Linked DNA regions of Neodiprion lecontei. The protein of the gene in region 3 purifies or fractionates together with the protein of the main gene of each other region. This does not show direct contact. Links are inferred from orthologs where the notes say so. Each region holds a gene or a part of one and is shown on either strand. Other genes may lie near its edges. The genes, in order: nucleolar protein dao-5, ribosome biogenesis regulatory protein homolog, nucleolar protein 56 and NHP2-like protein 1 homolog.

What was found.
Region 1: the proteins of nucleolar protein 56 (region 3) and nucleolar protein dao-5 purify together in Homo sapiens (affinity purification with mass spectrometry; 6 studies listed by BioGRID and IntAct, with this or other methods). This does not show direct contact. The link is inferred for Neodiprion lecontei from reciprocal best matches to the Homo sapiens genes NOP56 and NOLC1.
Region 2: the proteins of nucleolar protein 56 (region 3) and ribosome biogenesis regulatory protein homolog purify together in Homo sapiens (co-immunoprecipitation; 3 studies listed by BioGRID and IntAct, with this or other methods). This does not show direct contact. The link is inferred for Neodiprion lecontei from reciprocal best matches to the Homo sapiens genes NOP56 and RRS1.
Region 4: the proteins of nucleolar protein 56 (region 3) and NHP2-like protein 1 homolog fractionate together in Homo sapiens (co-fractionation; 3 studies listed by BioGRID, with this or other methods). This does not show direct contact. The link is inferred for Neodiprion lecontei from reciprocal best matches to the Homo sapiens genes NOP56 and SNU13.

Annotation. Positions count from the first base shown.
Region 1 is NC_060260.1:24,039,925-24,048,154, forward strand, and holds nucleolar protein dao-5, read left to right. Parts: upstream 1-1,791; 5' UTR 1,792-2,137; coding exon 2,138-2,299; intron 2,300-3,990; coding exon 3,991-5,433; intron 5,434-5,903; coding exon 5,904-5,984; intron 5,985-6,361; coding exon 6,362-6,772; 3' UTR 6,773-6,795; exon of another isoform or gene 6,796-6,860; intron 6,861-7,431; downstream 7,432-8,230. UniProt on the Homo sapiens protein: Nucleolar protein that acts as a regulator of RNA polymerase I by connecting RNA polymerase I with enzymes responsible for ribosomal processing and modification.
Region 2 is NC_060266.1:947,546-952,093, forward strand, and holds ribosome biogenesis regulatory protein homolog, read left to right. Parts: upstream 1-2,291; 5' UTR 2,292-2,391; coding exon 2,392-2,537; intron 2,538-2,618; coding exon 2,619-2,877; intron 2,878-2,961; coding exon 2,962-3,263; intron 3,264-3,364; coding exon 3,365-3,532; intron 3,533-3,646; coding exon 3,647-3,797; 3' UTR 3,798-3,920; downstream 3,921-4,548. Other genes in the region: THAP domain-containing protein 2, read right to left, coding at 1,096-1,611, 1,690-1,879, 1,980-2,050. UniProt on the Homo sapiens protein: Involved in ribosomal large subunit assembly. May regulate the localization of the 5S RNP/5S ribonucleoprotein particle to the nucleolus.
Region 3 is NC_060262.1:3,830,758-3,837,601, reverse strand, and holds nucleolar protein 56, read left to right. Parts: upstream 1-2,286; 5' UTR 2,287-2,439; coding exon 2,440-2,442; intron 2,443-2,790; coding exon 2,791-3,356; intron 3,357-3,970; coding exon 3,971-4,883; 3' UTR 4,884-6,236; downstream 6,237-6,844. UniProt on the Homo sapiens protein: Involved in the early to middle stages of 60S ribosomal subunit biogenesis. Required for the biogenesis of box C/D snoRNAs such U3, U8 and U14 snoRNAs. Part of the small subunit (SSU) processome, first precursor of the small eukaryotic ribosomal subunit.
Region 4 is NC_060261.1:30,699,958-30,704,218, forward strand, and holds NHP2-like protein 1 homolog, read right to left. Parts: upstream 2,083-4,261; 5' UTR 1,895-2,082; coding exon 1,892-1,894; intron 1,709-1,891; coding exon 1,328-1,708; 3' UTR 766-1,327; downstream 1-765.

The DNA.
Region 1 (8,230 bases), on a different chromosome or scaffold from region 3:
TGATCAAGAGGCTTTGAATGCATCACAAATTTCTTCCATTTGAGTAAACCCATATGACTATTTTCCTTTCAGATGATTTTCACGAAAATTACAGATGAAATGTGAACGTTTTAAAATAATACTAATAATGGACAAATTTTTGCCTGCAAATATGTCTAAAAATTCACTTGAAATTCAATGTGTTCGAAATGATCATGAAGGCAGCCATTATGGTATGAATAGTTCTTTCAATCTATCATTATTGAACATAATTTTTCAAAAAGTGACGAGTAATAACATGGATATTTCCTAAGGTTTTCAACGAATCAATGGCTTGCTTGTATTTTTATGAAACTCACTTCCTAAAATTGGAAAACAGTGAGGCTACGCTTGCTTTTTCATAAACCACTAATCCAAGGTAATTTATAATTTCAGTAGGGGAGGGTGGGGCAAGACGGCCCCTCTAGGACAAGAAGGCCCCCTCCAAAAATTTGGTCAAAAAAAATTTTTTTTTTTTTTCAAATTATCGGGATTTTGATATATTAGCTCATTTGTAACCCTACGCGAGATACCTCGGGCAAAATGGACCAGCCAAAAATTCTAAAAAATAGATTTATTTACATTTTTAAAGTCAAATTATGAAGAATATGTACTTATTCATTTTTAGGCTGATTGTCTACTAAGTAGACTACTTGTAGGGTAAAATGAGCCACTAGCAGCATTTGAAAATAATAATTTTTTTTTAATTAATTAATTTCTTCAATTAAAGTTTTTTTTCCGAGTTTCATCAAAATGTCCATGGATTTGTTCGAAATAGGTCAAAAGTTAACTGACTTGATGGTTGAAAGCCACGAGTAATAACCGGCTTTGGGGGGCCGTCTTGCCCCAACCTTCCCTACTTGACATTCACAACTTTACCATTAAATAATTCTATTATAAAGCCGAAAAAAAGAACCACAGAGCTAGAGGTCAAAGGCAATCAAGATTCATTTCTTCCAGAGCCTGTCATGAAACTTGATGCTCAAAAAAATCATGTAGGAGATGGTGTCATACTTGTCAAGATCTTCTCGACAAAGCTAACTGATTGCAGTGCGGAACTGAAAATTTAATATACATTTGGCAATGTGAACTACCTTGCAGAGACCAGAAAGTTTATCAGTGTGAAATATGGTTAAGCGAATCAATATAGATATGGTAGTGATGAATTATGCATTTTGTATATTGTTACGCAACATTTAACTAACTCTGAACTTGAAAAGATGCGCTTTCATAATGATGGATTCCTTCAGCAGGTCATCTCAATCAAAAGATTAATTCAGGCTAAAAAAAAAATGCAAAGTTATGCATACGCAAATCTGATGAGAGTAATTTAAATAAATAATATATGTCCTGTTTGCATCAAGTTTAATATAAGATGATTGTATTTTACATAGATACAAGACTATCTTCTTTTTTCCCGCGTTAATATTCCGTGATACCTATGTGATGTATAAAGACTCAACCCTGAGCTATTTTTCGTAACGATTCAGCGGCTCTGGAAGGGATTGGGGGTATCAGTAGTTTCACGTAATATTAACCGAGTAACTAAACACGTCGGTAACAAAGTACTTCATAACCAACAACTATCGCGTGCAAAACGTTTGTAACAACGTCAATTCATGGTTTTTCAATTAAAGAGCTAAAGAGACGCGGGAAAAAGTCTTTTTCTCACAGGACATATTTAGAAATATTTAGAATGACATAAATAATATTATTTATACAATCATATGATCAACGGTTTTTTTTCAATAACTGATTTTCGAGACGCAAATTAAACGTGCGTTTCGAACGATCAACATGACCACTAACGGCTGCCTACTGTGTACTCAGTTGTCTACATGCCGGCGCTTAGCGGGTATTTTTTAACCTGTCGTATCTTGCGAATGACTTCGGATACATGTTCTTTCGGTTAATTTACTCAGTTCGGCTATATGAGTTCGACTTCCTCTGTAACCCCTATCAGTTTGATCACTTGCAGCTGAGACACTCTATATGGCGACAACTTCAGTCGATAAAGTAAGTTCTCGAGCACGCCGCAAGTGTGACGTTCGAGGTAGCACCGAAACGTAGCGTGGTAAATGGTAGGTGATATGGTGATCTTGTATAGCGTATCTGTCTTATGGCTAGCGGCCGATTTCAATGCGCTCCGAAGTACGCCGTCTCTTCGCACGCGTCCATCATGGCCTCCATAGACGATCCTACGATCTCCGCGCTCGTTTATGATTATTTATTGAAGAAGGACACATCCCTGGCGAAAGTCTTTCAGAAAAAAACAAAAGCGGTAAGCTTCAGAAAAGAATTGATGTATTTTACCCTTGCGTGACTATATTCTATACGATATACCGCGGCCGATAATTGGCAGCCTCGATAGCCGCACCACGTGGATAATTTCGAAATCGAAACGGCTTCTTATAAAGCAATTAAACCAAGCACAATATTTCATCCACACGAGTCTCGTTATTTCTCTCATTAAAATGTACTCCGTAACACATGTCTTTTCGATCTTCTTTCACGAAGCTTGAATACGAGACTCAAGATTTTCTAACCTCCCATGTCACATATGAGAAATAAATTCGAACCTGCTTGACTGAATGTGAAACGTGTTTACTCACGTAAGCAGTTTATTGCCAATTAGCATTGGGAGTGTTTTCACCTGTATCTTTTTTCAATCACGGTGTCATTCATCGTTATTACTTAATTTATCTCTAAATAGGTACTGATTTCAGTACAGCTAATATACCTTCAATATTGTACTTCTTAGAGATTCCTAAAATTAACACTGTATAATTGCCAATTTTCACTCTTCGTGCACTTGATATAGTTGTTTAAAAATAATTGCAATAATATTTCAATATTTGTATTAATTCTACAGTTACATTGTAACCTAAAATATTGCAAACCCATGTTTTACGTGACAAATAGAAATTGAATACTTATTCCATTTGCGACATAACATAACCATGTACAAATGTTTTATGCGCTGATGATTTGTGTATATTATAGCGATGAATACAAAAAATATATACACATATTATGTACGTGGTAGATTTTTAAATGAAGTATTTGTCTTCACATTCCATGTACTTAAGATGAAACGAGTACATACTTAGAAATCAAACTTCTTTTATAAATATATATAAATATTCGTATATAGGGGGTTTCAGTTCATCCATTCGAGTCATCGGAGATTTTGAGTTTTTGGCTGACCTACAACAACTGTTCCAGAATTACGGGACCTCGAATGGTTTGCGAGAGGTTAACGGTTTAATGTTTAAAAAAACACAATTAGTTGATACAACGGATCTATCTTTGAGCATGTATATCTTGTCTCCCTGATGCTGGTAGAATACTTTCGCAACTGATTTGCGAGTGCAAAGGATTTATCTTTAAAACTGTGAAATTGATAAATATTTAAGGACAGTTTTTAATTGCGAGATATTCCGAGAGGTTTTGATTTTGATTTTTAAACTAGAAGGGCATAATTTTCTACTTGAAAATTCCACTAAATACTTAAGAGATCCTCAAGTTTATAGAAGGGTGCTTTTTTTTTCTTAGTTTTTTTTAATTATTTAATTTCTTTTATCGCCTGCTGGAGTGCAACCACTCTTTTTAGTTTTGAAAATAATCTTTTAACGTCAGGGAGCCAATATATTCATGTTCAAAGATCACCTTGCATCGAATGAATGGTTATTTTCAAATTTTGAAAAGTCAATATTTCGTGGACCATTCAGCATCAGGCCGTATAACCCTAGAATAGTTGTTTTGGGTTCGCCAAGAATCAAAATCTGAAATGCTGCCAAAATCAGTGACCCATGCGCAGAATTGCGATCCGAATGTGCTGGAATCCCCCACACATTAAAAAGAATGTGTGTCGTATGCAGTGTGAATTGGAATTAAATGGCTAGGATTTCTCAGTACTTTGATCAAATTGAAAATTTATTCTAAACAAATTTTGAACGATTTTAATTTCAGCCTGAGCTTGCAAAAGGCTCTCCAACAATACTGCAAGTAATACAGCATTTTCAAAAGAATTCATCGAAAAAAGTTAATGTTAAAGCACAAAAGACAAACAGCAGTTCAGATTCAAGTTCGGAGAGCGAAGATGAGGTGCCTAAAAAAGTGCCAATAGTTAACGGCAAAGCGCCAGTAACAAAAAAGCCAGAAATCAAAAAGCAAGAAAGTTCATCAGAAGAGTCTTCTAGCGAAGATGAAAAACCAGCCGTCAAAGTATCCCCGCCTAAACCTGTAGCTAAATTAACACCTGCCGCAAAAGAATCAAGTTCAGATGACAGCTCGTCGGACGAAGCTCCGGCTCAAACAATTTCTTCAAAAACAAAACTGACCCCAGCTAAGCCAAATGCCAAAAAAGCTTCTTCCAGCGACGATTCTTCAGATTCTGAAGAAAATTCCAAAACACAAGTGGTGTCTAAACCTATGGCCAAAGCTGGACCTAAAGTAATCCCTGCAAAAGTAGCTGCAGCGAAACAAGAATCCTCGGACGATAGTGATGATAGTAGCGATGACGAACCAGCTGTTAAATCAAGCTCCAAACCTGCAGCTAAAGCTGGCGCCAAGCCCGTCGCTAAACCTGTGGCAAAACCAGTCGCAAAAACAGAGACTTCTAGCGATGATTCGGATGATTCATCAGAAGACGAAAAACCGGCAGCAAAGACTCCAAGCAAAGTTACACCTGTAGTAAAGGCTACTCCTATAAAGGTTGTAAGTTCAGCAGCTAAAAAAGAAGAATCTTCAGACGACTCTTCCGACGATGATGAGCCCACTGTGTCCCCAGCTGCTAAGGTGGTAGCTAAGGCAGCTGTGAAAGCAAAATCGAGTAGCGAAGATTCGGATTCATCTGAAGACGAGAAACCTGCACCTAAACCAGTCACTCCTGCGAATAAAGCTACCAAACTTGTCGTTAGGCAGGCTAAAGAGTCCTCAAGTGATGATAGCAGCAGCGATGAGGAACCACCAAAAAAAAAGTTTGCAGCACTTCCAACTAAACCTGCAGCAAAACAAGAATCATCCAGTGACGATTCTGATGATTCATCAGAAGTTGAGAAACCAGTGCAGAAAGCTGTTGTAAAATCCACACCAGCTAAAGCTGTTGTCAAACAAGTAGCTAAGAAAGAGTCCAGTGATGACTCTGATGAGTCTACAGAGGATGAGAAACCTGCATCTAAGCAAGTTGCCCCCAAAGCTGTTGCTGAGGAAACATCCAGTTCTGAGGATAGCGATGAAGAGGAAACGCCAAAACCTAAAATTACTCCAGCTGAGTCCAAAAAAAGAAAACACCAAAATAACGATAACGATGAAGACGATGAAGATGATACAGAAGCAAAACAAGTTGCAAAAAAACAAAAGGACAAATATAGCAATTTTGTAAAGGCTGGGAACAATGTAAATGGGGACAAGGTAACTATTAGTTGCAAACCTAGCAATTTTTATCTTGTATCATCAAATTTGCCCTCAATAGTACACTGAAACTGTTTTACACAGTTCTGGACATCAATATCATTTATTTTATCCATAAATTTAAATATAGAAAATTTAGTCCCCGCAACCTTTTAAAAACAAAAATTGAAGCATGAAATTTTTTATTTGAGCAGTAATCCTCTTTTTCCCTAGCGCTTATATGTTCCCTAATTGAAGCAGTATTTGTAGACGAATTGAAAACTAATGTTAAAGATGTAGGTACAGAAAAATATTTACAACCACCAATATTCGTGGAGTTCCTTTGTTGTTTACTTTGTTTTTGTGTATTCATATCTTTTAACAGAGTACTTCACTATCATTAATGTCACAAATTGCACTAATTTTTCATGGCTCCATTTGAGCCCACCATCAATGATATACTTACCTTTTACTTTCATTCTGTGAACCAGAAAAATACACCATTCAGACGCGTAAAGGATGACGAGATCGAAGTGGATCCACGATTGGGGAGTAATGCATTTGAAGCTAAGGTAAATGCTCGGAAACAAATGAGTATGAAAACAAATGAGAAACACAAGGTCACTCCCATACTCTTTCATGAAAGTTGAGGATTGATCTGTTGAAAAAAAAAATTATACGACTTTGTCCTGATAATTCAAGTAACCAGAAAAGTGTATATACTCATATTGTTTATCGTAACCGACGATTGTTTAGTTCTGAATCTTGGACTTGGCTACCAAATTCGAAAGCCTTATTGCCACCTGATATTGTTTGCGCTCATGTTTCCATGCATTATCCTGAATTTTTCCAGGTGCCTGTCTCGTGTCAGTGGCCGAGAAAGGGCAGTGCTCGGACAAATGATATCAACTTTCAGATTGCTTGACCTTGTGTTTCTCTCTTGTTTTAGGAAGAGGGTGAGGAATGTGCCCATACCCCAAATAACGGTAACTTCAGGGGCGGAAGAGGCGGTTTAGGTTTCCGCGGAGGAAGGGGTGGCGATAGAGGTGGTCGTGGAGGCTTCAGGGGTGGGAGAGGTGGTGATCGCGGAGGTTTCAGGGGGGGTAGAGGTAGCTGGGGTGACCGAGGAGGAAGAGGCGGTGGCCGAGGAGGGGGTGGCAGAGGAGGTTTCGGAGATGGAGGCAGAGGCGGTGGTGGACGAGGGGGAGGTGATTTTAGAAAATCTTGGGGAGGTGACGAAGGTGGCCGAGGCGGTGGAAGAGGTGGGGGCTTCAGGGGCGGCAGAGGGGGTGGTTTTGAGAAAAGAAATTCATTTGGAGATGCACCCGCTCAAAATAAGAAAATCACTTTTGACGATTGATTATAGGAGTTTTTAAAGATAAGGTAATCGCTCAACATAAGACTCATGGATGTATGAAAAAGCCTGTAATTGGTACGGTAATTCACAAGTGAGTTTTTTTTTTTTTTTTTTTTTAAATAGAATCATTACATTTGTCGAATTTTTATAAATTCTTGATATTCAAAAAAAAGCACATCGTTTGGTTCTGAATTCAGTGGTGACTTTGTAGAATTCTATACGTAAACAAAGAATTTGGCATGACGTTAATCTGACACAAAATCAGGCTCATATGCGTCAAGCACGGAATTGGAAACTCTGATACTAAATTTTCGTCTTTCCAATTAGTTTCGGACTTGTAGGACTTGTTTGTACTTTCATGATATCTTAGTAAAATTTATAATAAATACATGGTGTCCAGACATGAGAATTCAAGAATTCCGTTTGATCTAAATTCTGCGAGTGACTTTAAACTCGGCAATATCTTGCGAAATTCGAATACGTACAAGATCATTCATTTCTGTTTTTCTAAAGGTAATTTTTACATTTTTCACTGTTCGTAACACAAACCCGAAAAACTTGAAATTATCATGAAATCCTGTTCACCATGTAAAATCGTTACGTCAAGTGAAGTGTTAAATGTGACGTGTAATAACCGAAATTATCTTGTTTTATTTTAACAGAAAGGTTTCCGAGGCTCATGGGGAGAAAGAGCAAATCTGGACCTGAAACACACCAGGGGGAAATCGTTCCGTCATGAAAAAACAAAAAAAAAACGTGGCAGTTATCGCGGTGGTCAAATAGACATGACAGTCAATTCCATTAAGTTTACCGACAATTGACAAATCGATTATTTCACGTGAAATATTACGATTACAACATGATATACGCCATAGCTATTTCTTACAAGAGTCTTATTTTTATTACAAACCACTTATTATTAAATTATTTCTCATTGTAAAACCGTTATAGAATCATCATTACTTTCCGACGTATCGGCAACGGTGTATTTATCACCTGACATTTAGCTTGTCAAAGCTAGATTTATGTTTTAAAACAATTTTATCCGTTCCGATTACGCATTATATCAAGTACACGTTGATAAAACGGGAACAGGGATCGAAGAATTCCTATTACTGGCAGAAAATGTACACGAACAAACCACATATATGTATAAATAAATTCATCAAATACGTGCTACACACCGCCTATACATGTGCTAAAATGAAGAAAAAAACATGGTTAAAACTTTACAATGAAATACAGTTATAGGCTTTTCACGTCGCCTCGCAACTCATTCCATACAGATATAACAATCTGTAAGGAACGAAGCTACGATATGAGATAGTATTGAATAACAATTCAAATCGAAAATAAAAATAACTCCGACTATTGTTAATTTGTAGTTGTAGAAATATTACTATAATTATAAAGTGTTGAGAAAAAAACAATTTTTAAGAAAATACAACCACATGCGTGGTT
Region 2 (4,548 bases), on a different chromosome or scaffold from region 3:
AGAACATCTGAGCCGAGGAGGTACATGTAAGTTTGGTTGCCTATAATTAGGCACTTTCACGTTGCGTACGAAGGGTTGCCACTAATTAGGCGGCTTTAAATTGAACAGCAACGGCCTTTGCAACACATTGTTATCACTCTGTTACTTTTTCATCATATAAAGCTCGTGGAGGATAGGAAATAACGCAGAAATATTGGCTAATTGCATTCAACAAGTTACATATATTCCAGGATGATCCATTATATTTGTTAAATATTAAATGCAAATTCATACATGTAATTCAGTAACATAGTTTCAGCATAACTCCAGTATTCGCATTCGATTATCATGTAAGTATAAAATAATCTAGCAACATGCATAGTTTCACACTTTTATCGTCTCAAATCCAAAATATCATTCAAATTTAATGTTGACGATAATGATTAAACCACGTGTCATATAATGTTACACTTTCTTAGATCACCTAACACTGGTATTATACGATACAAAGAAAATCCGCTCTCCATAACAGTATTCCTGAAGATTCGCGGTCTTTTAGGCTGTCATGCTTGTAACTCCTGCAATTTCGAAAATATAGCTTTCTTTTACCAAATATAAAGTTCTATAAATGACAACGATAGCATTGCGAAACTCCGAGTTCTACCTAACGAGTTATGAGTTAGACACTCTATCTATCAAAAAGTTGGTTGCTCGGAATCCTGTTCTAGCATTAATCCGACATTTTAAAATTGATCTCGGAAATAAAATATTCGACACAGACGATTATTTTACTCTCAATACATGCCTAGAAGTAACGCGATTCAGGATGAGTTGTTGTTCCATAAATTCATCTAGATGTAAGTGATATTTCAATCAGATTGCAATCCCATAGCACTTCCGTGAGATGGCAGCAATCTGTAATAATGAAAAAATTCTACATCATTATCAATAGAACATTTCGTTGTCCAAGCAGCATAACATATAATAAAACTCGTAGCTGATTCAGTGATTGCTTAATCAGAGGTAACACTAAACAATGATTTATTAACAATCAAATTGCTCACCGGTTCACCTCCGTTAGGACTCGTACGTACACCTATTTTATTTCAGGCAATGCTACACCCCATGTCCATTTTTTGTCACTCCACTTTTTGTCCTAGTTGAGTTGTAGAGTTCTTTAAGATCACTGAAGAGTTTATTTAGTGAATCGATTTTCCTCCTCTGTTTACCAATGATATTCTGCAGGTTCTGAATCTTGCGGGTCTTTAGTTTGTCCACATTCTCCATTTCATTAATTTTCTGCTTGAGCAAAGTTACCTCTCCACCACTGTCAGCAGCATGATTAATCACGGTATTTGGTTTCTCTAACGATACTGAGGGGGCAGGAGTACTCAAAGGTGCTTTCAGTACGGATTTGAGGTTTTTTTTCAGTTCCGCAGCCGTACGTGGATCCAATTTCACCAGGGTTATTCTGCTCGAACCAGGTTTTTGACCATTATAGACTTCAATCTGTTTCAATGAGACTTCTGAATTAGACAATGGAATTTTGTCAGCAATAGGGACATCTGAGTCTTCACTGTCCGTTGTAGGGGACAAGTATCGCTCATTAATTTCATCCTGCATCATCCGAGCCTACAAAGATCCCATTGTTGCAACATAAGAATTGCTTAGCGTGGATATTTTTTATGAACAAATGCAAGAGATACTAACATATTTCAGCCTGCTGATTCCAATTGTCGGTATAGCATCATTGTTGAGTTGCACTCTCGCTGTAGAAGCACGATCAAAGCAACTATCAGTAAAATGTTGAGAACAGAGTCTGCTGTACGGCGTTGGTTTGTAGTCAGCTCGGCCCATAAACCTGATCCAGGCATCCCGCCTGTCCGGACGTTTTGGAAACCTGATAGGTAATAATGGGAAACACACCAAAACATTTAGAAAGAAACTTAACCCTCAAGTCACGGACAATAGCTAAATTGGAATGTTGCAAAATTACTCACACATGGAAAGTGATCCGCTCATCCCTTCTCTTACGCGTTTTCGAATATCCACAGGCGGCACAGCTTACCATCTCAAATACACTCAAATATTCTCAATAAAAATTGCAGAACCAAGCCACGCAGCTCTTGACGTTCAAATGGCTGTAGAATAATCAGCTACTAGACCTCCTGTCGAAATGGTTAAAAAGAAGACATTAGACACGAGTTGGCGCACTTGTTCGCACACGAAAACAGTTCAGCTTCAACATCTCTCGGCTACGAATTCTATGCTACTATTTTCTTTCACCCACCTTTCACCGCCATCTATGGGTTCTTATGCATCACTAAATCCTAACCGTAAAATCAGGAGGTTAAAAATATCGCACGTAGTGCGAAGCGTGGAAACTTTTAGGTTACGTGCGTCGCATCCAGGATGGACATAGTATCGCAGGTCCTCGAAAAAGCCGCTCAGGATGAACGCCTGCGGACAACAGAGGTGCAAAAGCACTTGGAGGTGGAAATAGACGAAGGCTCGCTGCTCGCGGTCGACTACAACTCGTTCGACACTGAGAAAATCAAGTAGTGTAACCATTTGCATAAGTGAATCTCTGATACAGAATAGAAAGTTCCGGTTTTTAAACCCGTTGTTGTCTTTTCCAGGACCAACAGGGAGGATTACTTCAAGCAATTGACTAGGGACAACGTCCAGTTGTTGATAAATCGGATTTGGGAACTGCCGACAAAGCGTGTGGACGAAGCGGTCGTAGCAACGCTGCCGAAACCTAGATTCGTACTTCCCAGAACACATCGACTACCAAAGCCTAAGCCCCTGACAAAGTGGCAACAGTTCGCCAAGGAAAAGGGCATCAAGAGTAACAGAAAACGAAAGTCAAAAGTTACATGGGACGAGCAGTTGCAGGTAAACTTTTGTTTTCTAATTATGAAAATGATGCGCGCACTTATTCATCCAAGATGTAATTGCTCGATTTATTTGTTTTCTTAGAAATGGATTCCAAACTACGGTTACAAACGAACGCAGGCAGAATCTGAAAAGAATTGGCTGGTCGAAGTCAGTGACCATGCAGATCCAACTCTCGACCACCTATCCCTGAAGACAACAGCAAAACAGGAGAAGCGCAGCAAAAATGAACTCCAGAGACTAAGGAACTTGGCTAAAGCGAAGAATGTGAAGGTTCCTCGCGTTGGTATACCAAGCTCTGATTACTATCAAGATACACGTCAAATAGCGACTGCCGTCACTGTTGCCAGATCGTCTACGGCGTCAGTCGGTAAATTCCAAAACAGGTAACGGCTTTGTTTTAATGCCAAAATTGAAATGAAAACGGTACAATTGGAAATGCAGTAATGACTTATTCAGTTTGTTGTGTCCAATTTCACTTTCACAGACTTCCCAAGGAAAAGGATGCAAAGAACATCAAAGAAATGGTGCCGGGATCAAAGAAAAATAAACAACCAATGTTCAAACCTGGAGAGGAGGTGAAACGGAACCTGGGTTTTGTGGATAAAATCTTATCTAAAAGACCAGCGATCTCGATTGTTTCAAACCCCTCTGAGTAAGTTATCCCTACTCTCCTTGAAAGAATTAGTTTAATGTCTTATGCGAAATTTCGCGACCGTTGTCAACTACGTTAACCATTGGTTAAATTATGTAAAACTATCAATTACAGATCCCAAAACCGGCAGACGGACGACGAATCGCCAAGGCCAAAGAAGAGGAGTAAAATCAGTAAGAAGGGTGGCAAGAAGCCGAAAGGAGGCAAGGGAAAGCGAGATATGCACACCAAAGTGGGTGGAAGAAAACGACGGCAAAAAAATTGACGGGATCACATCCATTCGCCAATTTACGCCAATCCGATATTATAAAATTTCCCATCTTTGTATCGTGTTCGAAAAAGATTGTAATAAAAAAGAAAGAAACATTTTCGAAGATTACGGAATAAATTTCTGCCGAAAATCTTTATTGCTGACTCCAGAACGGGTCACAAAGATAGCAGCTCTTCACAGTACAAAAGCCGATGTGCTCGACTCCGAGAGGGCTCATGTAGTACAAAGGATACTCAAGTACCTACTGTATCGATAAAAAAGAAATAAGGTTCAAAAGTACGGAATAATCGATAGCCTGTGCCTCAGGCGTTAATTTTTTGCGACTCATGAGTTAAATAACAAAAATTTATCGCCCCAAGACGGAGGCTGTGAATGATAGAAAAAATGTGTTGTCGGACATGCACGATCTGTATAGACGAAAAAGAATAAATCTGATAACAATAAATCTCCTCGATTGATTTAAATTGCATAGAAACTTAGATTTACGATGTTGGCTAAGGATTGGTAGTTTAATCTGTTTACCTGAGGAAGAGAATTCTGAATTATACCTAGAAATGCCGTCCTGTTTTTCAATTTCCGAACACGAATCCTACGACGTAAAAGAAAAGTCAAAGTACAGAAGTGGAGAGAAAAGAAATTGTCGGAGGATTATAATTGTAGGTCTTTTTCGGGTGAGGAGATAGATTTAAAAAAAGGGGTTCCGTTCGCCGGAGAATTTTTATCTTCAATATTTTGTTCCTGCCAT
Region 3 (6,844 bases):
CTTTGTATGTTTCAGCTAATCGACCTTTTGTCTGTTTCGGTTGATTAAACCATTCTCTATTGCAGTTAATAAAACCTTTGTGTGTTTCAGCTAATACTTTATCTGTTTCAGTTGATTAAACCATTGTCTATTTCAGTTAATAAAACCTTTGTATGTTTCAGCTAATCGAAATTTTGTCTGTTACAGCTAATCAAAATTTTTTCTGTTACAGCTAATCGAACTTTTGTTTATTTCAGCTAATTAAACTTTTGTCTATTTCGGCTAATGAAACTGTTGTCTGTTTCGGTTAATCAAACTTTTATCTGTTTCAGCTAATTAAATTTTTTGTCTGTTTCAGCTAATCAATCTTTTGTCTGTTTCAGTTGATTAAAATATTGTCTATTTCAGTTGATAAAACCTTTGTATGTTCAAGCTGAACAAAATTTTGTCTGTTACAGCTAATCGAACTTTTGTCTGTTTCAGCTAATTAAACTTTTGTCTGTTTCAGCTGATTGAACTTTTGTCTGTTACAGCTAATCAAAATTTTTTCTGTTACAGCTAATCGAACTTTTGTCTATTTCAGCTAATTAAACTTTTGTCTATTTCGGCTAATGAAACTGTTGTCTGTTTCGGTTAATCAAAGTTTTATCTGTTTCAGCTAATTAAATTTTTTTTCTGTTTCAGCTAATCAATTTTTTGTTTGTTTCAGTTGATTAAAACATTCGTCTATTTCAGTTAATAAAACCTTTGTATGTTTCAGCTGATCAAAATTTTGTCTGTTACAGCTAATCGAACTTTTGTCTGTTTCAGCTGATTAAACTTTTGTCTGTTTCAGCTGATTGAACTTTTGTCTGTTTCAGCTAATTGAACTTTTGTCTGTTTCGGCTTGTTTTCTGGTTCGGTTAGTCAAACCTTTTGTCTGATTTAGGTAATTACACCTTTGTCTGTTTTAGCTCAATAATTTTTTCATATTTTCGCTAATAACAATTTTTCTTCATCGCAACTTATTACTCCTTTGTCCGTTTTAGCTGTGTCTATAACCAACAATTTGTTCGATTGTCGAAAAAAAAAAAATTATTTCGATCATCTATCATAAAAAACAATCATATTTTTATCCATAATGGGCAATTAGCAAACAAACTACATATACTACAGTAGGTTAAATTGAACTACCAAATAAATTGAACTGTTCTACAGAAAAGTATACGAGAAGAAATGTGCTTCCTATAGAACTGTCCAATTTATCTCGTAGTTAAATTTAACCGACTCTACTATACGAATGACGAATTAGCAATCATAAAAATAATCATACCGAAAATCTACGAAAAACTAAGGTCAATTTTATAATTCTTCGTCGTGGAATAGGCCTACTGGGGATACCACGTAAAAAAAAAGCGCACCGGATGCTCTACTGCTTACAGTGGTGTGGAAATGAGCATATCTAATTTATTGAATTTAAATAAAAAGATATCAATAGTCAGAATTTATCTTCATTTGTTAACGTTTTTGTGAAAAGAATGAGATTAGAGAGTTATGTTTTCCACGGTACTGGGTATCGTCAATCAAAACCAGGAAACTAATTTTCATCTCATTCGAAACTCGTGTGATATTCGAAAATAAATTTCCAACAACGTAATCATAATATTTGCTTTTGATTCAAAATTCTACAGTACTAGGCTGTAACTTATTCTGATAAAATCATGTAGAAAATAGAAAAATCATTTTAATGTTTTCAAGATCAATTGTTTCCACATTCATTTTTAGCAGTAAGACAAAAATGTGTACAAAGTCCAATTAGCCATACTCATTTTCTTACAATCAGTCTTGGCGGCCGGCCATTTTATTTAAATTCAATGCAACCAATAACAAGAGAAAATCCCTCATCGAGCCATCGAATATTTCTCTGGCTTCGATAAAAGAAAAAAGAAAATCGATGAAAGCAATACACTTACCTGTTAAAATCGACGGTACTTAAAATCTTCATGAAAAATTGTGTGTCGGTTCAATCATCGAAGAACACGTATTCTGCCGTTGTTTTCGAGGTAAAGGTTACCGCAGCTTTGCATAACCACGACATTACTTACGATGTATTAGCGGATACGGCAACCCTCCAAATTGACCACAAGCACGATAAAATACTTTTATGAGAATCATTGAACGGTACTACACGTATATTTGTCAGTATTTGCCATCGACTTTTACATAGCATTTGATTCAAAAGTTCAGCCATACTGCTCGTCTCGCACTCTAATGGCGGCCCGCTGAACTCTATACCATGTATTTGCGAAACAAATGACTGTCTATCTTGATTGCTCCGTGATGTGAGAGCTGAGAACTAAAAGTTTTTAAAATGGCGTCAAACTCACTTCCCGTGCACATGGCCGTGTAGAGGCTATGTGTCGTGTGTGAAATCTCCGATAGCATTTTACTTGTTTAATAGTGCACGAATGTGATTAAAAAATGGTAAGAAGCATCAGAATTTGCAAAACTATATAGTATCACTAAAGTCCGACGAAAAACTTTATTCTGTAATTCACCATGAGACGGATCATGATAGGTAAACAATATCATTCCTCGTGATTCGTTTCGGGCTCGAAAAACTGTTGCATCAAAATCATTACACAATTTTCAAACTGTTTCACTTACTTCTAAGTACAAATAATTGTTCCCAACATCGTTTTCTTCTATCAAAGTCAATCTCATATCAAAGCCGCGTCACTTGTGAGATATTCGACGAAACGACTGGCGAAGAATGATTTTCGGAAACAAAACAACAACGAATTGTTCGATATCTTTTGTTAATTCTTACAGTCGAAGCTCTGCGTCCTGTTTGAACATGCTGCGGGCTACGCCTTGTTCAGCGTTAAGGAATTTGAAGAAGTCGGCATTCTCTTGCCCCAAGTCGAAGAGTCGGTAACAGACTTGGGCCGTTTTCATGGAGTTGTTAAGTTGGTCGGTTTTTTGCCTTTCAAGACTGCTCTCGCTGCTCTAGAGAATGTAAACAGCATATCGGAAGGCGTAGTGCCGAACGACCTGAAACTGTTCCTAGACTCAAGTTTGCCTGGCAAGAGAAAAAAGCTCATTCTCGGCGTCGCCGATCCTAAACTTGGCGCAAGCATCGCCGAAGCTTTGGATGTGAAGTGCGATCATACCGGCGTTGTGCCCGAACTTATCAGAGGCATACGCTATCATTTTCACAATCTCGTCAAGGGATTTACAGCAAAAAGCTCTGGCGTTGCCCAACTTGGTTTAGGACACAGCTATTCAAGGGCTAAAGTCAAGTTCAACGTACACAGGGTAGACAATATGATTATTCAGAGCATAGCGCTCCTTGATCAACTCGACAAGGACGTCAACACATTCAGCATGCGTATACGGTGAGTAATATATTTCATGGAGATCGGTTCATTTTACGAACCGTTTAAAAAGTTTCACGATTCCATTCACGTTATAATCACCTTACAAACATTGATTTTCATAATTATCAGTCGCGTAATCTGTGATTCAAACAAACTTTTTGGCCTTCTGAAAACCTTATTCGTTTGTTTATTGCCAATCAGAAATTATGTTCTAGATCAATAATTTTTTGTTGAGTTGATTTGATTTATTAGCCGGTCGAAATCTCCTCCTTTTCTGTATTCATTCGGTATATTGGTTTCATTCCAGTGAGCAAATATTCAAATGAAATCATGATTATAAAGAACTCGGTTGAGAAATTTTGTTGGTAAAATTTCTTCATTTTACTGTAAAATTACAATACTGGATGACTAAAATCAAATCAATGGTTCAATTGTTTTTAACTCTGTTAATAGATAAGCTAAAACGAAATTTACGCATTAGATGAATTACAGTTCTCAAAAAATCATTAAAACGTGTAAAATTTTGTCACCCATGGAAACGTTACTAGAAATGTATCGGTGATCCGATTACAAAATAATTATTTGACTTAATTGTATAATGCTGATCTTTGTTCATTCATTACCGTGAACAGCGAGTGGTACAGCTACCACTTTCCAGAGCTTGTGAAAATTGTACCCGAAAATTACCTCTTCGCCAAGGTAGCGCAACTTATAAAAAATCGCAAGGAGTTAACCGAGGAGAAACTTGAAGCACTCGAAGAAATTGTAATGGATAGCGCAAAAGCTCAGGCTATAATTGACGCGTCGAAATCTTCTATGGGAATGGACATCAGCCCTGTTGATCTTCTGAATATAGAAATGTTTGCTGGACGAGTAATCGCTTTGGCCGACTATAGAAAACAGCTGGCCGAATACTTGAGGTGTAAAATGGCTGGTGTCGCTCCGAATCTAGCAACTCTAATCGGCGATCAAGTCGGGGCTCGACTGATCGCGCACGCAGGGTCTCTGACGAATTTGGCAAAGTATCCCGCGTCAACGGTGCAGATTTTGGGTGCCGAGAAGGCTCTTTTCAGAGCATTGAAAACTAAAGGAAATACCCCTAAGTACGGGTTGCTGTTTCATTCCACGTTCATTGGAAGGGCAGGTGCCAAAAATAAGGGAAGAATTTCGAGATACCTGGCAAACAAGTGTTCCATCGCGTCTAGAATCGACTGTTTCACAGACACCCCGTCCAGTATATTTGGCGAGAAATTGCGCCAGCAAGTTGAGGACAGGCTGAAATTCTATGAGACAGGGGACGTGCCCAAGAAGAACATAGACGTCATGAAAGAGGCGCTGGAAGAGGCTGCACAGGTTGTCGTCGCTGCTGAGGAAGAGTCTCCGAAAAAGAAAAAGAAAAAGGACAAGAAAAGAAAGAGCGAAAATATCGAAAATGGCAACTCAAACGGAGCTGCGGTTGACAATGGTACAGTCGAAGCTGAGGTCGACGATGACGTACCCAAAAAGAAGAAGAAAAGGAAGTCCAAGAGTCAAAATGACGAGTGAGTGAACTACGGCTGAGGTTATTCGATCTCGTCATCTAAGTTGTTGTATTTCATTTACAAATGAAATCTAATAGATGATGCGACGATATTCAAAACTTGAAAGAGTGCATTTTCATTACTACAGACATTGAGACAATGAGGCTTTCTCAGTAAAGTTTACAATATTTACAAAAGATATGTTAGTTACCTATTTTGTTTACTTTTACATTTTTATGCATTTCAATGCATGTAACACTTGTATGTATTGAAATGCATCTGATTTAGAGGAGTGAGGTGTGAAAGATTTTTTACGACCTGACAGACAACTGAATGAATGCAGAAGCCTGTTTCGCCGCTAAGATCTAGTTTGAAATTGTAATTTCAAGTCGAAGAAAATATTTTAGTCGATGGAAAAAAAAAGTTTCTTCTAATTTAGTCTTAATTTCGGTTATCTATAAAGAAATCGGTTTGGGTATTCTGTTGAGAAATAAATATTTCAGTATTTGCATAGAACTTGTGTACACATGGTCGAATAGTCAATCTAAAATACAATATCTTACATAACGACAAAGGAATACACCGCAATTAGCACTTTTTGTTCAAAGTATTTGTATCTTGTCTCTCAGTCTGCAGTCTATTAACTTGATAAGTTTAATTCATAATGTTCGAATTTTGTAAATAAAGACACTGGACCACCACAATTATATTTTATTGTTATTATTCAAATCCTTTCTTAGTTTGTTATATGAAATTGACAGGATTGACCATGCAACCATGATTATTGTCATCGAATGTTTACGTTTTTTATCCTGCAAAAACTTGACATTCTGCTTCTGTACACATTCACTTGGATCATTTATCTTTGTCAAACATCCAAACAGAAAGAAATACTTTATGCTTTGGATGTTTGAGTACATTTCCGTAAAAAGCTGATACCGTAATTTGTACATTGAATACGGAATATTAAAAAATACTTGAAAACTATCGAATATTGTGGATGATTATCTTCATTATTGTTAATTATAACTCACCCGACTGATTCTCTGATAACGATAATCAATAACGGATAAAAGACGGGTAATTAAGAATGGCAAAAAGTTGAGAAACATCCAATATATTAATACCAGCACCAATGAGCATTTAATATGGTAAAATTAACTTGTAACAGGTATAAATATCTAAATTAAAAGTTACAATTCAGGTAAATATATTTTATATATAATACAATTGGGAACCCAGCTTATTAGAAGCTTAACATTATCGTGTGTACAATTTTTTAATTCTAAACCGTAGTACACGCACATGTATTTTTATTATCATCTATAGTAGGCCTGCTTCTGATCTGTGAGTAAATAATAATAATAATAAACAAAAAACCGTGCTTCTTTGTGAAACAAAATTATTCCAATACAAAGTTGCACTCAAAGTACTCGGCTATATGTTTTTTTTTTTTATTAAAACAACACTTAATTGTCAAAGCCGCAGCTTTGATCGCACTAAAAGTAATCGCTTTTATCAAATTGAATTTAACAGTCTGCTTTTAATTGTGAAAACCTATAAATGATTTATACATTTTATCTTTTATATACCTGGTTCATTTTCACCATGCATTATCATATATCATTATTGCAACATGTTCATTAACTATAACAATAGTAACCTGAGACAGGTATCGTGTCCTTATATCCGTAGGCTGACTGTACGGGTTTTTATTATTTTTTTTTTTTATATTTATTTCGCCCTGTATATTAATAAATGCATGTGATGTAGATCAGAAGATATTATACATTGGTAGGTAGGTACAGGTACATACATAAATTGGAAAAAATAATATAGGGCAGTTCAGTCTCAATGTAAGACAGGCGTGATGAGAAAAAAAAAAAAAAAAAAAGATAACGGAAAAATGTTACAACCGCAAAACTATGTTGCGCGTAAATTTAAAACAAAAAATGTATAATCGAGGCGGAAATTTTTTTTCTTCGG
Region 4 (4,261 bases), on a different chromosome or scaffold from region 3:
AGCGAACATTACTTTCATTACAATTACGCTGAACGTATTTGCTTCTTTTGCAATTGAAGCAAATCATTTACCGCAAAGCGAAAAAAAAGGAACCAGTACGATTAATGCCAAACTTATCGCAGTTGTATAAGTAACTAATTATCACTCAAGGTTGGTGTGTTTTCTATGAAATAATATGATTAGTTTACTATTAATAACCGAATTAACATTATAATTATGTCGAAGAAGTTCTATTTATTAGAAATGAAGTTATTCGACAAAAATTCTAGTGTACTACATACCTGTGATTTTTCTAACAATATATACAAAATAGTTTTTCAATGCCTTGGAGTATTGAGGCCTATTTTACACAAATACGTTAACATTTAAGAGCTGTGGGTATGCAAATTTTTTTTTATCGACCTTAATCGTAATTGCTTTAATCGTTGTTTTATTTCACAGAGTATAATCTCGTTTACTTAACTTTGCTTCAGTCCATATTAATTATTAATTTCGAATCAAATATATGTTACGTTTTATGTTGTATTTAGAACGTTTTATCCATTTTTATTTCCCCTATGTAATAAACAGCATCCATTGGAATACATAGTAATAGTGTATAGATGAGCAGACACGAACAGTAGCACCGTCTTGTTTCAAATATGAGTCCAGGTTTTTGATACTGCATATGACTGGAAGACTCTATTGACTTATATCCAGATGTCCCTTATTTAGGTATTATTATAATATGATTTCTGATACGTAGTTTTGAAATCCAAAATCATCTTATATTTGAACCAATACAGTATTTATTTAAAAATTACAACCAACCTTCAGTGTTGTCATTTTCGTTTGCGAACAACAGTTGCCATTAATTCTAGATGTTTCTTTTTCTTTGTAGTGAAATGCATGAATTATTCCAAGTTTGAAAAGTCATATTCATGAAAGGCCGAGCCATGAGCAAAGTTACTGATCACATGACTGGTAGAGCGACATTACGAAAGGTAGTTAAAAGATTATGTTTTTTGTTACAAAGTTTCATTTATTTACTGACCTTCCGAATTCACAAAAATGTTTTGTAAATGGTTGCGGCAGATGGTATTGAAAGAAATGGGTATAATATTCAAATATTGGTAATAATACAATTATTTGTAGTGCTACAATATGTATGTTATACATATACATATGCATATGCATATAAATCAGTTTCATTTTCGTTGAAATAATGTCTGGTAGACTTCCTCGGACGAAGAAGCAAAACAGGATTGCGTAGAAAAATATGCGAATTTATTCCGCGGTGTTTTAATTTTTAGAATCAGGTACTCCCGGAGGTCTTTTATTACAGCCTTTACACTAATAGCCGTTCGATTTCTTGTTGGATAGCCAAAATCTGTGGCTTAAGCTGAGATCCTTCATTTACTGTTACCGAGCAAGCAACCACGGGTCTGGAAACTCCGCAAGCTCGTCCGAGTGCTTGCTTGCTACGAACAAAGACATAGGGAACATTCTTGTCTTCGCAGAGTAGCGGAAGGTGGAGTAGAATCTCCAGAGGTTCTGCATCTGCAGCCATCACGATAAACTCTGATAGACCTCGATTAAGCGTCTTTGTAGCTTCGTTTGCTCCTTTGCGAAGCTGCTTGTAGTTCATTGCTTGTTGAACCAAATTCAAGATCTTTGCTGTCAGAGTAGCATCGGCCAGCGGGTATGCTTTCGGGTTCACCTGATCGGTCTGTAAAATATTCATTTATTAAATCAAACGCGGTTGTGGTCAATTCTATTCGCTCGTTTGCAGCTCTTCGTACGGTTCACTGCGCGTCCACGTGCTAAACGACATAACCTCTTGTCGATAGCGCGTTGACTGTGTAATTTGTACTGGATGTAGTTAATTCGGTAACACGTGACTGGGACTTACCATTTTTTAAATATATCTGTTACTGTGGAATGAAATGAGGTATCGAAATACCCGGTTATAACCTCTCGGCGATAAATTGTAGAAATCGCTTCACTGAGGAACCTGGAACTTTGCCGAACGTTGCCGCGTTTCTATTACGTATATTCGTCGTTGACTGAACTACGCATGCACAGGAAGTATTGGGAAATATAAGCATAGAGTATCAGTCTACAGTGTGTTGCTTTCATCTGTAAAGGATCGCGTCACTGCTCCCGCAGCATATCGCCGTCCTGAACTGAAACTACGCAGTGCACTCGTCTGCGGCATGATACCTTTTGAATCGAAGCTTTTAAATGCCTTCTTAACCGGTTGAAACGAGTTTGAATCCCTGATTTGAATGGTTAGTAAATGGACACGCGATTGATTTTCGTTTGTGCTTTCATAATGGTGTGAAATGAAGAAAAAAGTCTTAGTTGCAGATCTTGGAAAATATATAAAAAATATTGTAGTACTATCAAAATTGTAGTACTTTAAGAGATTTTTCGAGTGTATGAAAAACATGTAAAACGATATTTAATTTCACAAGATGCATGACAAAAATTTGTACCAATTCTTAATGAATTTCTAAAAAAAAAAACAAACGGACGCGTCAACGTTTGAATGATAAAATTTCTAACAAATTTTTACAGGACTGAAAAGAGATTTCTGATCGAACTAACCCCATATGGAATGTGCACAAGAACGTTATTCTCGAGGAGCTTTGACCTTGGTACACCGTATGTATGTACATTATTTTACCATAGTCTATGAATGAACTTTACTCCGACCACTCGTAGAGCTTCTTAAATTATTGAATTCTAAATGTACACGTATGTATGGACAATATGCGTCTGGTTCCCTACGGTTCAAGATAAAAAACGACGTGGGTGTATATGCATCAATAAACACGGACTAAAGTTGAGAAAACCAGATAGCATTTTAGACTGTACTCAACAATCGTATTATATCGTGAAGAATACCCTCTTCAGTCTCTCTAGAACTTTTCACTTATGCAAATTCGCATTCTCACAAATATTGACGGTTGAATGTACACTGAGGGTAAGAAATTCTTGAATCAACAAAATAGATATTGTTGGTGTCCATTAACTTCAATTTAGTATTCCTTATTTGGTTTAAATACGATGACTTCAATTCAACAATTTCGATTTAGTTAGTTTGTCAAAATGATTCAGTCAAGTGAATTCCTTAATTTAAAAAAAAAGCCTTTCTTATCGCGATCGAGTGAAGTATTGACTCGAGTGAACTTTTTCACGTGTTTCCGAAATTGAGTCAACTAAATACCAGTTCATATATTTGAAGTTTATGTATTGTTCCTCCAACTCGTATGTTTGCTGACAGAAAAAGTTAGATACTTCAAGTAAAATAAGTATATGAATCTAGCAAACAGAACATTTACATCGATAAATGCCACACTTTGTTGATCCAACCGGAGCTTAGTTGGCGTAACTGGTTGAATCAGTTGCACTAATTTGTTTACGAGGTAAAAGGAAAACCACATGCTTTGAAACACGCAGACAATATATTCATCGTTAACGTCAGTATACTAGTATTATAAGCGTAGTATTATAAGTAGCTTCAGAGATAGTTACAAAACCGGGTAGTCGGCCAAGAATTTGGTTACGGATAACCTAGGACAAATTAGACATCAAGCCTATAACAATTAAAGGGAACGTTATGCCATTATCCGACTCATCGAAATTGATATTGACGACGCGTAATTTAAAACTACTGAACATGTAAGGTTTATGTATGTATACTTCCTCATATTCGGCAATAATCTTTCGAGTGTGCCCTAGTAATGTCAAATTATCAAGTAAATTCCATAAAATTTAGAGTCAACAAAATTATAAAAAACATCATTCGAAGAATACATTTTGTGCATTTGAATAATTCTAATGTTCAGTCAATTCAATTTTTGTAACAACAAATTTTATTACTTCAACCATTGAACTCTTGACTCAACAAAACATGAATTTGACTCAACAAGCTCAATTTTTTTTTATTTCATATTTTTAAAACAAAACGATTGAGGTGCGTTCCATCACATTTTTAGTCATTACAATCGCAGATTTTTTTCATTCAAAATTCACATTATTCCAAGGAACTCATGCTGTGATACATCATACATGGTATTAAAGTCATACATCATCATACATAGTATGAAAGTTCGAAACCAAAGTTTGGATGTCGGATGTTCGGATGTTCAGAAAGTGACGTCATCCAAATTTTTTTTTTCTTGACGTCATCAATCTATATAGACGAATATCAGCTCGCCGAATTCCTCAGTCTGGCAACAACCGCGCAATAGAGCGGACGTACTAAAATCGCGCT